Lonchura striata: one gene and its partner. The protein of the gene in region 2 purifies or fractionates together with the protein of the main gene of each other region. This does not show direct contact. Links are inferred from orthologs where the notes say so. Each region holds a gene or a part of one and is shown on either strand. Other genes may lie near its edges.

What was found. Proteins that work in one complex are often made in the same cells at the same time.
Region 1: the proteins of IFT57 (region 2) and TRAF3IP1 purify together in Homo sapiens (affinity purification with mass spectrometry; 3 studies listed by BioGRID and IntAct, counting the BioPlex papers as one, with this or other methods). This does not show direct contact. The link is inferred for Lonchura striata from reciprocal best matches to the Homo sapiens genes IFT57 and TRAF3IP1.

Annotation. Positions count from the first base shown.
Region 1 is NC_134610.1:36,519,028-36,526,267, forward strand, and holds the start of TRAF3IP1 (TRAF3-interacting protein 1), read left to right. Parts: upstream 1-4,185; 5' UTR 4,186-4,271; coding exon 4,272-4,394; intron 4,395-4,921; coding exon 4,922-4,990; intron 4,991-6,247; coding exon 6,248-6,409; intron 6,410-7,240.
Region 2 is NC_134604.1:2,787,463-2,794,814, reverse strand, and holds the start of IFT57 (intraflagellar transport protein 57 homolog), read left to right. Parts: upstream 1-4,272; 5' UTR 4,273-4,322; coding exon 4,323-4,486; intron 4,487-5,747; coding exon 5,748-5,910; intron 5,911-7,352. Other genes in the region: HHLA2 (HERV-H LTR-associating protein 2), read right to left, coding at 1,045-1,108. UniProt on the Homo sapiens protein: Required for the formation of cilia. Plays an indirect role in sonic hedgehog signaling, cilia being required for all activity of the hedgehog pathway.

The DNA.
Region 1 (7,240 bases), on a different chromosome or scaffold from region 2:
TAAAACCTGGAGACATTTTGTGATATGGAACAACAGGGATGTAATCTTAGATTTTGAAGTTTCTGGCTTCAGTTGTTGCCCATAAACTTAATTTAGCATTTTCTAGGGCATTTTTGTCGTCCCTGAATTTCATTAAGATGGAAAACGGTTGGAAGAAATTGACAGATCCAATGCTTGATCTTCAGTGAGTTTTACTGTACTCAGGAAAAAGGCATTTATTTTCAGGGCTCCTCTTCAGAGGAATTTCCCTCATTTCTCATCTTTCCAGCTGTTCTGATACTCTCTTATATTGGAGAACCTGTTTCTCTTGGTGTCCTGAGCTGATTTTGAGCAGCTCAGTGAGCTGGGCTCCAGGTCAAAGGCTCTGAAGTATTAACTCCAAAGTGAGCCTGATTATCCTGAATTAAATCTGTGATTATGACAGGACAAAACACAAGTTTGCTTTTGGGGGTTGCAGTAAGTATTTGACCTATTTTCTGTATGTAGTAGGAGCTGCCAGTTGAGCAGATTTCCCAAATTTTGGCTAATGTAAGATTTTTCATGTACCTTTTATAGGTTAACACTACTACATTTGAGACAGCATAAAGATAAAATCTGACACTTTGCTAGCAGCTAAAAAAAAAAAAAAAGAAGTGAAAAGCACCATAAAGCACACAATTATATTATTTTTTATTTCTCTGCATATCTTTAGAATTCAGCAGGTACTCCTGTGCTTTTTGGGGCTGATACTCTGCAGAAGGGGCTGTTAACGTCCTCACTCACTTGGATCCTGAAATCCCAGTTTCATGGATACATTTTCTGCCTGAGGGGAGGGCAGTGGATGTTTTCCCATCTTAATTTGTGTCACCTTCTTTCCATATCAGGTGTTCTTGGGAGCCTGGGTTTACAGCAGGGGTCAGAGGTGCCGATTCCAAAGGTTTGTGTTCCCACATGGTTACAGTCCATTGGATTTATTTGCTGTCACTTCAGTTCCTCCGGTTCCTGCTGGAGAGCTGGACTGAGCTCAGCCTTCCTCTCTTGAATAACTCTGGTCTCTCCCTGAGAACACCAAGTTTAGAGAAATCAAAATGAAAATTAGAAGAGGGAATTTTGTGCCTTTGTTCAAGTGTAATGTAGCAGCACCTGCACTGAACGAATCTTGGATTATTTCTAATGTTGGCTCAAAATGAATTTTTTTTTTCTTCTTTGAAACTCTTGTGGGCCACTCCACATTGGGAGTTAATGGAAAACAGGGCTGGGGAGAGAAAGCACCTTTTAAAAATGGAGTCTTTGGCTCTGTGGGTTCTGATGGTTATTTGCAAAGCCTTGAAGAGCTTTCATCTTTATTTTTCAAGTGTTCTTCACAAAATTAAATGTCATTTTTATCTGCCTAGTTGGGTTATCTGTGGATGTCTCACTGGTTGAGAATGGCACAAACTGGTTTCTGACATGAGTATTAATCAGCATTCATCTTCCAACGTTCCTGAACCAACATTCCCAGCTCTGGGGGAGGTTTCCCCTTTCCTTGTGGCTGTTGTCTTTTCCTGAGGCTCCTGGTTTGGTCCTGGCTCAGGGCTCTGAGTGCAGGAGCAGCTTTGTTTTCGTCCTATGTTTCCAATCCCTGTGGGGAAAGCACTGAGGTTGGCAGGGAATGTTCCTCCATCAGGACACAATGCCACTCTGATGCCCTAGACTTATGAAAAGCCTTGGAATTTTTTTTATCCCAGTTTTAATGAGTTGTTTGGAGTGGTTATTTTGAGCAACAGGTTTTGACTGAAATCAGCAATTGGCTTCTAGAGACTACTGAGCCAATTTCTGGGAAAAAAATTATATTTAGGGTGTTGGTGTTTTGTTTTTTTTTTTTGGGGGGGTGGTTTTGTTTGTTTGTTTGTTTGTTTTGTTTTGGTCATCTACCTCATCCCAGCTTGCTCAGACCTTTCTGGGATTCTGGACCTTGAGACTGGGGGTTTCCAGGTACAGAGTTGAGCTGAAAGATTGCTACATTTTTCTCAGCATCCTTTCCTTCCTGACAGGTGCAGAGTTCATGGCATTTCCAAGAGGTTTACTAGGGCCATTGGGAAGAAATCCTTCCCTGTGAGGGTGGTGAAGCCCTGATCGTGGGTTTTGGTTTCCAGTTAAATGGACCTGTGCTTCCTTGGGGTGCCTGTGTGGGAAAATGAGCTAATGAGGCCAAATGTAAATTCCCCCCTGAGATTCCTCTTCAGGCATCTCAGATGCTTCCTAGATAGTCAGTGAAAAAGCCCAGATAAACTACACAATCCCAAAATAAACATTCCCTCTTTCACAGAGCAGCTTCTTGCTTCCTCTGAGACTTCTTCCAATGCCCTGGGATGTGGAAGCTGTCAACACCTCCTGTTCTTCCCAGGATCACCAGATCCTGGAGTCAGAGCCTTTCTGGGAACCTCAGGGTTAGGGGGGAAGGTAAAATGCACTTCCCCCCTTGAGCACCTGCCAGGAGCCCAGGTGAAATTACCCTCTTGGTATAGAAGTGTCTACTGCCTTTTTGCTGGAAAAATTTCCTTGCCTGCACTAAGACCAGATGGATTTGCTTTGTAATACCTCCATTAATTCCCAAATCTGACTCTTTCTTTACAAAAGGCTGTGGGTTGGAATGGAGTGGGTGATCAAGTGCCACCCTCTTGCCATGGCAGGGACACCATCGACTATCCCAGGCTGCTCCCAGTCCTGTCCAGCCTGGCCTTGGACACTCCCAGGGATCCAGGAGCAGCCACAGCTGCTCTAAAAACAGTGCCAGCACCTCCCAGGAAACAATTCCTGCCCAATATCCCATCCATCCCTGCCCTCTGGCAGTGGGAAGCCATTCCCTGTGTCCTGTCCCTCCATGCCTTGTCCCCAGCTCCTCTCCAGCTCTCCTGGAGCCCCTTCAGGCCCTGGCAGAGGCTCTGAGCTCTCCCTGGATCCTTCTCCTCTCCAGGTGAGCACCCCCAGCTCTCCCAGCCTGGCTCCAGCCTTGCAGCATCTCCCTGCTCTCCTGGATTTGCAGTCCCTGTTTCTCTTGTGTTGGGTCCCACAGAGTCACCTCTTAAGTGATGAAGCAAAAACAAACAAACAGAAAAAAAACCCCAAAACAAAACAAGACAAAAAACAACAACAAAAAAACTTTTCCTGCTCCAATTCCTGCTGCTGACACACAGCATGTCTCCCTAACACGTTGTTCACTGCCTCTTGCTCTGAGGGGTAGGGGGGCATGGTTTTGAGGCTGTTTATGGGGGATTTGGGGCTGTTTCCAGGGGTTTTGGGGGGCTGTTTCCAGGGGGTTTGGTGCTCTTTTCGGGGGTTTTGGGGCTGTTTCCAGAGGTTTTTTGGCTGCTTCCAATGGTTAGGGGCTGTTTCTGCGTTTTTGGGGGCTGTTAATGGGGATTTTGGGTGCTGTTTCTGCAGTTTTGGGGGCTGTTTCCAGGGATTTTGAGGCTGTTAATGGGGGTTTTGGGTGCTGTTTCTGGGGATTTTGGGGCTGTTCATGGGGGTTTTGGGAGCTATTTTGGAGGGGTTTGTGGCTGTTTCTGGGGCTGTTTTCCGGGGATTTGGGGGCTGTTTATGGGGATTTTGGAGGCTGTTTTGGGGGGGGTTGTGGGCTGTTTCTGGGGATTTTGGGCCGTTTATTGGGGTTTTAGGGCTGTTTCTGGGGATTTGGAGTTTGTTTATGGGGGCTGTTTCCGGGGGTTTTGGGCACTGTTTATGGGGGCCTTTGGGGGCTACTTTTGGGGATTTTGGGGCTGTTTCCGGGGATTTTGGGGCTGTTTCCGGGGATTTTGGGGCTGTTTATGGGGGCTTTGGGAGCTATATTTGGGGATTTTGGGGCTGTTTCCGGGGATTTTGGGGCTGTTTATGGGGGCTTTGGGAGCTATTTTTGGGAGGCTTGGGGGCTGTTTCTGGGGCTGTTTCCGGGGATTTGGGGGCTGTTTGTGGGGGGTTTGGGGCTGTTTCCGTGGATTTGGGTGCTGTTTCCAGGGATTTTAGGGTGGTTTCCAGGGTTTTGGGGACTGTTGCTATGTTTTTTAAGGCTGTTTCCGGGTGTCTCGGGGCTGTTTCCCGGGTTTTCCTCGCTGAGGGCGGAGCGGGCCGGGCCGGTTGCTATGGCCGCGGCGCCCCTTAGCGACCGGCGGCTCGCGCGGGGCACGCCGGGAGCGGCGGGCCGGGGGCGGGCGCGCCCCGCCGCGGTGCCGGTTCGAGCCCCGCCGCGGTGCCGGTTCGAGCCCCGCCGCGGTGCCGGTTCGAGCCCCGGCGCGGCCCGGCCCGGCCCCGCCGCGATGAACGAGGCGGTGTCGCGGCAAACGCGGGAGACCCTGGGGCAGGTGATCCGCAAGCCGCCGCTCACCGACGCGCTGCTGAGCAAGCCGCCCTTCCGCTACCTGCACGACCTGATCTGCGAGGTGGGTGTGTGGAAGCCTGTGGGGCGTGCCCTCAGCGGTGTGTGAATCGCGGGGCTCTGGGCACTGCGTGAGTTTGGGGTGGAAAGGCGCGTGTGGCGGTCGGAAAGGGGGTCACGTCTGCAGAGGCAGGGTTAGGTGGGGTTTTGGGAAGGAATTCTGCCCTGTGAGGGTGGGCAGGCCCTGGCACAGGGTGCCCGGAGAAGCTGTGGCTGCCCCTGGAAGTGGCCCAGGTTGGACAGTGGGGCTTGGAGCAGCCTGGGGTAGTGAAATATCACAGAATCCCAGAATCCTTGAGGTTGGAAAAGCCACCCGAGATCTCTGAGCCCAGCCTGTGCCCGATGCCCCCCTTGTCACCAGCCCGGAGCACTGAGTGCCATGTCCAGGCCTTCCTTGGGTACCTCCAGGGATGGGGACTGCACTCCAGTGCCTCACCACCCTTCCCACGAAGAATACATTTCCTGCTGCCACACAAGATTTATTGAGCAGAGGCTTTAAATGTTCTTGACTTACCCCATTCTGTTTTTTAGGTGATCAGAGTGACAGGTTTTCTGAAAGGACTTTACACAGATTTCGAGTTGAAGTCTGATAATGTCAAGGTGGGCATGGGACTTCCTTATTTATTTAGTTTTCAGTGTTTTTTGCAACTCGCCAGAAGGTTCTTTTGGTCTTTTCTGTGTTCAGCACCAAGGAGCTGTTGTTATTTTTGTGAAGAAGTTGTAAATCCTGCCTGTGGGGTATAATATACTTTCCATGGGGTGAACACCTATAGTTCTGTGTCCAAATTTCTGGTTTTAAAGAGTCTTGTGGTCTCTCAAGAGAATCCATGGCCCTTAACTTACTGCTCTATATATCTTTGTTTATAAATATCCCCAGGACTCACCTATCTAGGATATGCAGTAGCTTTATTGCTGTGTAAAACTGGCTGATTACTGAAAGAGGAGTTTGATATTATTACTGAAAACTCCTTAAGTCCAAGGTTGACTTTACTCTCTGTCTGCTGCTTTCCTCTGATTTTTGGCTGAGCTGATGCTGAGTTCCCAGCTCCCATCCTGATTTGGGAGCTCTGGTTGCTGATTCCTGGCAAACAGAGCAGTGTTTGTGTGTTGCCACTTAGGCAGCTGATCCCATGGTGTTTGTTTAATGTAGCAACTGAAGTGTGAGCTCTGACTCCTCATCCCTCCAGCCAGCTCTTGCATGTTTTAGTCACTGATTAATGTGTGTGTTTATTTCTGTGACTGTTCCTACTGCCGTCAGGATAACTAAAATTAAGTAATTTATAACTGAATTGTTTGGTTTCTTGATAGTGTCCTTGTTGACCCAAAAAGCAGATTTCCCAGCTGCTCCTGAGCAGGTCTTTGTTGCATCTACGTGCTGCTATGTCTCTGAGAATTTGTTTCACAAATTTCTTTCACAGCCGATAAGTCCTTGGGGTTTTCCAGAGCTCAGGCAGAGGAAATCAAAATCCTGGAGCGTGGGGGAAAATGTCTCAGCCTTAAGTTCCTCTTCCCAAAACTGGTCAGGATGAAGACTCAGCTGCTTCCTTACTGTGATCTCTCTTGGAGTTGTAGAAGATCTGGAGAATAATTTTTTCTGAGTAATCAACAGGAGAGAGCTGTAAGGAGGACTGAAATCATGATGATTTCTTAATTGTGAGGACTTCTGTGAAATTTCACTTGGCTTTACTTTGTTTATTTGATCTTTTATTTTTACTTCTGATTTTATGTTATCACTGGAAGACATCATCTCTAGTGAAGGGCAGCTGGGGCAGGTTGTTATTAAAGGATATTTGTAAAACTAAAACAAACATGATTATTGTGGAGATAAAAATTTTCTCTTAATTGCTGTTTTACCAGGATAAGGATTCCAAAATCAACTTCCTTCAGAAGGCCATCGATGCTGTTGTGATGGTGACAGGAGAGCCACTGTCAGTGAAACCAGCACGAGTTGTGGCTGGACACGAGCCTGAGAAAACCAATGAATTCCTTCAGGCAATTGGGAGGTGTTGCTTAAATAAGGTAGGAGATGATACAGATTTTATGCACACAGGGAGCAGGGACAGGAGGAGAGGGAGCAGCCGCAGGCTGGGCCAGGGCAGGCTCAGGGTGGACATCAACAGGAATTTCCCCATGGAAAGGGTGCTCAGGCCTTGGCAGGGGCTGCCCAGGGTGGTGTGTAGTCCCCATCCCTGAAGGTGTCCAAGGAACACCTGGAGGTGGCACTCAGAACTCAGGGCTGGTGACAAGGTGGGCATCAGTCACAGCTTGGACTTGATGACCTTGGAGGTCTTGTCCAACCCAAATATTCTGTGTTTTAATTACCCCTCTGCTGTCACTAATTGCACAGTAGAAACATTTTGTCACCCCTTAATAACAATAACAGCAGATAGAGAGTTCTTGATCTTCAGCAAGAGCTTGAGCCAGCTTCCCACACAAATGCATTCTGAATATTAAGGATTTTATTGCTTACTGTTGTTCACTTTATTTGTTTGTCTTTTAACAACACTTATTAGATTTGAAGCACAAAATGAAACTTCTGAACCTTTAACATTTTGGGGTACAGATGCATTACTTAAATAACCAGTTCCTTTGGCTTTATCTCCTTTCAGTCAAATCTCTTAATCGTGGAATGCAAGTAATTTCTCCACTGTGCTTTTTTTTGATTATGGAAATACAATAATGGCAAAATTTGATAATTGGTTAAAAACAACTGCAGGAGCTGTTCTTATACAGAATTATTGCATTCTTTCACAGAAATATTATGTTTTTACACTGAATTGTTACATTCATAAAATAATAATTGTGACATGAATAATAATAATAGTTACATTCTTAAAATAATAATTGTGA
Region 2 (7,352 bases):
TAAAGCCCGTAAGTACAAATGAGTAAATTTAATCCAATCTACAAGTATATTTCTGCACCTTTTTATCCCTGACAAAAAAACGCTCTTGGAGGCGTGCCAAAGTCTCTTTCATGACTTTTCTGTCACATGAGTCTCTTGAGACAGAAAGGGTGTCCCTCCAGTTTACAGGATTACAACACAGAGCTCTGCTCTTTGAACTTCTAATCAGTTTATGTAGAAATCCCAAATCAGCACCTACATATTCACATCAGCACCCTGCCAACTTACCACCTGAGCTTCAAATGTGTTTCCACATCTCAAACCCCATCTTTTCTACCTTAGACTTTAAAAGCCTTTTGAGCTGCATCTTTCTACGTGTTCAAACATTCACAGTGCCATGCTGCAATGCCCCATATGTTACCAATTACCCTCACACAGTGCCCAGCAGTTGTACCACCACAGAGAAAAAAGACATGGTGCTGCAATTGATGGGAAGGACAGAACTTCTTGAAACAGCTTTGCCACCACAGACAGCGTCAGGAAGTTCTGTCCCAGCCCCTTGAAATAATTAAGGTGTACATTCCACAAATTGACACAAGTGGAAGCATCTCATTTCTGTTAACATTTAACTTAGACCTTGCTGGCATACTAGAGCAATTTAATCTTTTAAAAAACTGACTGCAACCTGTTAGGCTGGTAGTGAGTGCCCAAGGGCAGTTGCCTTCTCAGACATTCTGATGCAGTCTCTGGCTCATCTGAACAATCCAAATGACTTTTCCTTAGTCTTCTCAATGCTAGGTCAGCCCATTTGCTGCAAATCATTTTCAGTCTGAACTGAAAAGCACTGCCTGCTGAGCCGTGGGGCAGAAACATTGGCAGGTCTGGGGGGCTCAATGGCCACAGCCATCCATGCAGCCACCTGATAAACAGTCTTTAGCTCCAGAAGTGTTTTACATTACCCAAAATTGATTCTTTACCATTAAAAACAGTGCTTGAATTCACTAACTCTCCTTAATAAAAATTAATAGTAATGGTTTTCCTTATTATTTTTCAGCTAAAACCTACCCCAAAGTGTAGCACTGACGTGAAATAAACAGATAATGACAGTTGGTATGTTCTGTCCTTTCATTTCTTCATTGGTTTGTAGATTCAGGTCAAACTGGCAAAATAAAAGCAGGGGAGAAAATCTCTTTAAATGCAGATAAAAGACATGTCCATATATAATTTCCTTTCTACAGCTTGCTAAGGACTATAGCCCTTTTTATCATGTTTTTGTTTGCAACAGACTTGGTCCAGATTTTTGACCTTAAAGCCATTCATTATGTGATCCTATGCATTACATAATAGTGAAGGCTCACTCGTTATCTTGCATCCCCTTGCAGATTGATGCTTTAATTTTAATAAATAGAAAGTGTTTACTCTCAGTGTTGTTACAGGGCTAGCTTCCTCATTCCTGAACAGGACACCAAGGAAAACCTGTCAAGAAGATTTTGCAAAAGGATGTAAGACGTCCCTTGTCAAACCTGCTTTTCTCTACTTTTTAAAGTATTTTTCTGATTACTGCAACATTTGACTTTCGGGGATGGGAAATTTGACTGCATTTGCAAATACCGCAGATATAGAGAACTTTTCACACTTTTTACACTTTCAAAAACATGTGCATGGAAGTCTAGGGTAGGAATGCAAAGGAGGAGACTCATCATATTTTCTGTTTTGCCAGACAGCAATGAACCAGAATCTCTCATGCATAACAGAAATAATAGTTACATTACTGTAACTATTACCTGGGTGGAGGAGGAACAAAATCAACAAAATATACTGTGCTTGATGTTTCCATTTCAGAAACTGCAATCAATGCTGTATTTCCCTTAGTGAGGGATCTGCCGTGTTTAATTGACATGTCACCTTCCACTGGCAGTGATGCTCTGAGAGTAGCATGGTTCCAGTGGTACCCCTGTGATGCCTTTGGGAGCTGCATGGACAGTGCACACTGCCTCCCATCTTCTAGCTGTGCCCCATAACCCTGCTTCAAAAATACACAGCTACAACTACTCAGCTGAAAATTTTCACATTCAGCACAAACCATGGCTTTGGATCTTTCCATTAGAGAAAAATGCATGCCAGTCTGTAGAAAAATCTGAGGAATGTAGGTTCTGGCCAGTCTTTTCAGCAAGTTCTGGGTCTTATAGGAATAAAGTGTGTGTACGCTGATAATTAGTCACACAGCAAAGTACTGAACAAACAAACATGCTTTTTCTGTTTGTCACAGACGTAACACAATCAAGAAGTCATGCCCTAATAAGGCTTTTAGTGAAATATCAATATGAAATTATGTATACAAACAGTGCACAAGTAGAATTAAGCTCACCGTAGTCATGTTAGTTACTGATGCTCTAGGTTTCAGGAGAATTATTTCATACAGAACCACCACAGACTAAACTGGAGAGCAGCTCAGCCAGGGTTCCTAAGAGCAAGGCAAGGTGCTAAAATGCATCTCCCAGGACATACTGAACAGCTAAAATAAAGGTAGGGGGAATGCTGCATTTGCTCCAGCCATTACAGGAAAAGAAGACTTTCTTCTGTATCCAAGTATTTCCCCATATTTGAGCTCTGCATTCAAGCTGGAACACGATCAGAGCACTCCTGCAGCAAACAGCCATCAGGACTGGTGGCTGCTCAGTGTACTTTGTGACCTCTTTGAGAGCAGACAGGCAAACTAAAATATCCTCCTTTCAAATAAAATTTATTTCTTGGTACAAAGGTTTCCGATTTATTCCTTTTCAATGCAACTTAACAACAACGCATTTCAAGTGTACACACACTTATGAGGACTGGGAAATATCAGAAGAATACTTTTGTTTTTCTTGTTTGCTTGTTGGTAAAAATTAACAAGTAAAATTCTCAAAAAGACATGTTAATCACATATTGCTAAAATCTCCTGCCACAATGATACCAGCTTTCTAGAATTTCCTCACTGAATCTTCAGAGGATTTCCCACAGTAAAAGAGAAGTCATTCTCTGCCTCCCCATAATGAAACCCTTACAACTTAAATGCTAACTTCATACTTCAGGTGTTGAGAAATAATCCGAATGGAAGAAAGTTTCCACAATCTCTCTCCCTGTTGATCTTGGCCTCTCTCCATCTGCATTCTGGCTGCCCCACACGTATGGCTCAGGGTTCAAGTAACTAACATACTTCATACTTTAAAAAACTTTTTCTCGGTTAACTTTTGCCTGGCAAACCTGAAGTTCCTGCAAGCTGTAACAGAGGAAATGAGTGAGCAGTAAGCGAGCTTACAGCAGTCTCGGGGAGGCAGCGACAGCAGCAATTCTCTTCGGGGCAGAGTGCAGGAACCTGGCCCAGGAGAAAGAGAACATAAGGTAAAAGTAATCATGACGCTCTTCTCAAAAAGCTCTTCTCAAATGAGAGGTAGGAGCCTAGGGCTTCCTGCAGGGATAGGTAATTCTTTTCTAAAAGTGCTTTTAACAGTGACCTCGTTCGCTCCCGACAAGTCAAAACCTGTGTGTCCTGTTTTTTTCCAGCAGAATAAAACGACTCAATTTTTTTCGGGAAGAGAGCTTACAAAAAAACTCCAAAAAAAATGCAGGAAGAAGTGGCAAGAAGGGGTGTGTGTCCCCTCAAGGACTTTGTCTGCAAAATGACTCTGTGAATTCAGGAGTTGTAAAAGACTTCAGATATCACCGAGTCCTACCTCTGACTGATGAACTCAACTAGATCACGGCACACGTCCAGTTTTAACACTCAGGAATGCTGATGTGCCTGGGCAGCTCATTGCAATGCTTGAAAACCCCTTTAATGGGAAATTCCACCCAATGTCCAATCTAAATCCTGTCGCAGCTTAAGTCTATGTCCTCTTGTCCTGTTACTTGCTAACTGGGAGAAAAGACCGACCCCCACCTGGCTAAAACTTCCTTCTTAGGAAGCTGTAAAGACTGCTCATGGGCACTGCACTTGGCCAACTGCGCTGCCCTTCTCTGGACACGCTCCAGCGCCTCGAAACCCATGCGGTAGTGAGTGAGGCGTCCAGAGATGGACACAGCGCTCGAGATGATGCTCCGCCAGCGCCAAGCGCATCCCGGGACACGCAGTTTTCCCGCTTTCCCCGCTGCCTTCCCCGCCCCAGGCGCTTCCAGCCGGCACCGCGGGTGAAGCTGCGGCTCTCGGCTGCCGGGACTCACCGCACCGCCGCTGCCCGGAGCGAGCCGTCCCGGCGCTGCTCTTCCAGGAGAGGGCAAAGTGTGAGGGCGGAGCGGCGGAGCGGCGGGGCGGGCCGGCGCCGCGCCGCCCTCACGCCGAGCCAGCCCGCCCTGTTGCCGTGGTTATGGCGCAGGAGAGCCGCGGCGAGCGGGCCGAGGAGCCGGCGGAGCGCGGCCCCGGCGCGGCTTTTCACATGTTCGTGCTCATGGAGGACCTGCTGGACAAGCTGAAACTGCTGAGCTACGAGGAGGAGGCGCTGCGGCGCCATAACATGCGGCCTCTGTGCAGGTGCGGCCCTGCTCGGCCTGAGGGCGCGGGCGGCGGGCGGCGGGCCGGGCCCGCTCCGGGCCCTCGCAGCTCAAGGAAGGGGCTCGTGTGGCAGGGTGCCTGCCTCAGGGGACAAGCAGCTGCAAAGCTGCCCGTGTGAGCTGGAACCGAAAGCTTGAGATGATAATAATAATAATAATAATAGTCCCTTGACCTTCCCTGCCCCCCAGGTACTGGGTGTCTGCGTGCCGCGGTACCCGTGCAAAAAGTAATTCTACCTATTCGGCAGAAAGTAGCTCTGCCTAAATTCCAAGTAGTTCAAAATAACTCTAAGTATCTTGAATTCAGGATAGCTATTCGTGGGATATGTGTATTTTTTAACCCTTTGCAAAGAGGGCCCGTTTTTGGTAAGGCTGGGGTTTCATATCCAGTATATATTTGTTTCATATGTAATGTTTTTTATGTCTTTCTTTTAAATGATGGTGGAGACATGAAGCCTGGGAAACAGGACCAATGTGCTCCAAATATCCACCTGCCCAAATAACCCATTTGTCGCTCTTAGCCAGGCTCCATTGCAGGGCTGTCACAGAATTAAGCTTCTTACAAGGAGCATTTTGTTAAAGGGGTCCAAGTTACTCCCTTTTTGGGAAGGAGGCTCAAGTATGAGCACTGTGGCTGTAAATCAGTTCTAGCCTGCTCTTGAGCCAGTGGAATGTTTGGAGCAGGACAGCAGACCATTGTGTACCTTAGTGAGTGGCTGTGTTGGTAAAGAGAAGCATTTCCAGAAGTTCCCTGTGTCCAGCATGCATGTAATTTATACTTTGTGGGGTGGTCTGGTTTTATGGATTGATTTCTTGTTAGGACCACATATTTGAATTTGGCGTGATCCAAGTCAGATCCAGTTTTCATTGCTTTCCAAAGCAACCCAAAGCACAGTAGGTAAGGACAGGCGGAATGATCACTTCAAAACAAGCTCCTCGTCTGAGCTGAATTTTTAAATGTAGGAATACCATCTTCCTGCATTTCTTGAGGAAAGTGTGAAAGATGTGGTTTGGGGAACTTGGCAGCCAGGTCTGGTGTTGACTAATAACTTAGTCATAGGTGGAAATAAGCAAGCTGTAGTGTAGAAAGATGTAGAAAACTTGGTCTGCTGCATCCTGAATTTAGTTCATTGCTCATTGAGGAAACCGGGTAAAGAAACTGCTCTGTAGCCTGTGCTTACCTATAGTGTTGTAAGCTGCAGAAACTCACAAGATGTACCACTTGTCCCCCTTGTAAGCAGGCACTACTTTGCGCTGCCCACCAACCCCGGCGAGCAGTTCTTCATGTTCTGCACGCTGGCCGCGTGGCTGATCAGCAAAGCGGGGCGTCCCTTCGAGCAGCCGCAGGAGTACGACGACCCCAACGCCGTCATCTCAAATGTGCTCTCGGAGCTGCGCTCCTTTGTGAGTGTCACACGGGCTCCCTTCCCAGGTGCCTGCATTCCCTTCAGAAATAACAGCAGTCACACGCTCTTCTCCTGCTGGGTCTGGTCCCAAGGACTGGACAGATTTTCCTGGCTGTAAGTTTGTACTGTGTTACTTAGTAAATTGGAACTTTACATAGGCTGTACTGAAACGTGGATGAAAAATTAAAACCTTATAATTTTAATAAAGATTTGTAGGGAACGGTATGTTGATAGTGGACGTACACTGGGATTTATCACACAGCAGGGATTTCTTTTTAAAGGGTATGTGTACTTTTGAGAACTCTTGATTTTTTTTTTATTACTTTTATTAATTTTCATATGCATAGAATTTTACAATAGCTCTATGCATATTTATTCTGTTGATTTTGTGTTATATTTTTAGTTAGTTGTACTTAGTTTTTGCCAGAAAGTATAGAAAGAACTCCTGGGTTACATTGCTTTGCTTCAAAGTCTGAGGAGTCTTTTTTATCTCTTATTTTTTTAGTGTGGAAATTTGTATTTTTTTTTTTTTTCATTAGCTAGGATAACTTTGCTAGTGTTGTAGTTACTAGACTAAATAGCGTATTTCACTTATGTTAGCAAGTTTAAAGCGGCACATTTCACTTAAATCTAAATAGGCTTCTACTTTGTGAAATTTTCACTCTGTCTCATTACCTACTTGCTATTATTTTTAACATTACAAAAATGGTCTTATAAATGATTCCAGTTAGTTTTGTTCTGCAGTCTGTAAAATGGATTAAACCAGGCTTACCTTCTGTAGTGCCGCATATGTTGCTAATTTATAGTAGCATAATTTTCAGAGATTTTATCTGGAAGGGTTACACAGCTTGTGATATCCTGCTCTGGCCAAAGTGAATGACTTAATTTGTAGTGTCTTTGTAGTGTAGGAAGTGGTTTAGAATAGTGTTTGTGTCTTTTGTTTTGTTTTGTTTTGTTGAAGAGTAAAAGGAATACAAACTGCCAGAAACTACTGAGATTTTTTTTTAATGAAAAAAGCCAAACTCCAAAGGTCAGGAGACTATGTCAACTGACAAAAGTATGCTCTTATGGGAGATAATACTCTTTTGCAGTGTGAATTATGTTAAGGACACTCTGAAGGAGTTAAACTATATCAAACTACTATGTTTATTCTGCATAACAGCAATAAATTAAAATATTTTATAAGTAAAATCTGGAGCAAGCAGGACACTGTTGAAAAGTTGGTAGTTAGGTCTCAATACTTGAGTTTTTCTGTAGCTGTTCTTGCCTTGTCACTCGTGTGCTTGACTATCCAGATCTCTTGTGGCTTCTGCCTCTTCTGCTACCTGGGAGTATGCTCTTACCATGTGTTTAAAGATTTCTACACTGCATCTGTTCCTTGGCTTCATCTGCTTTTCCTTCCTTTGCCTCACTGGAGCTGCACAGGAGAAGAATGTAAAT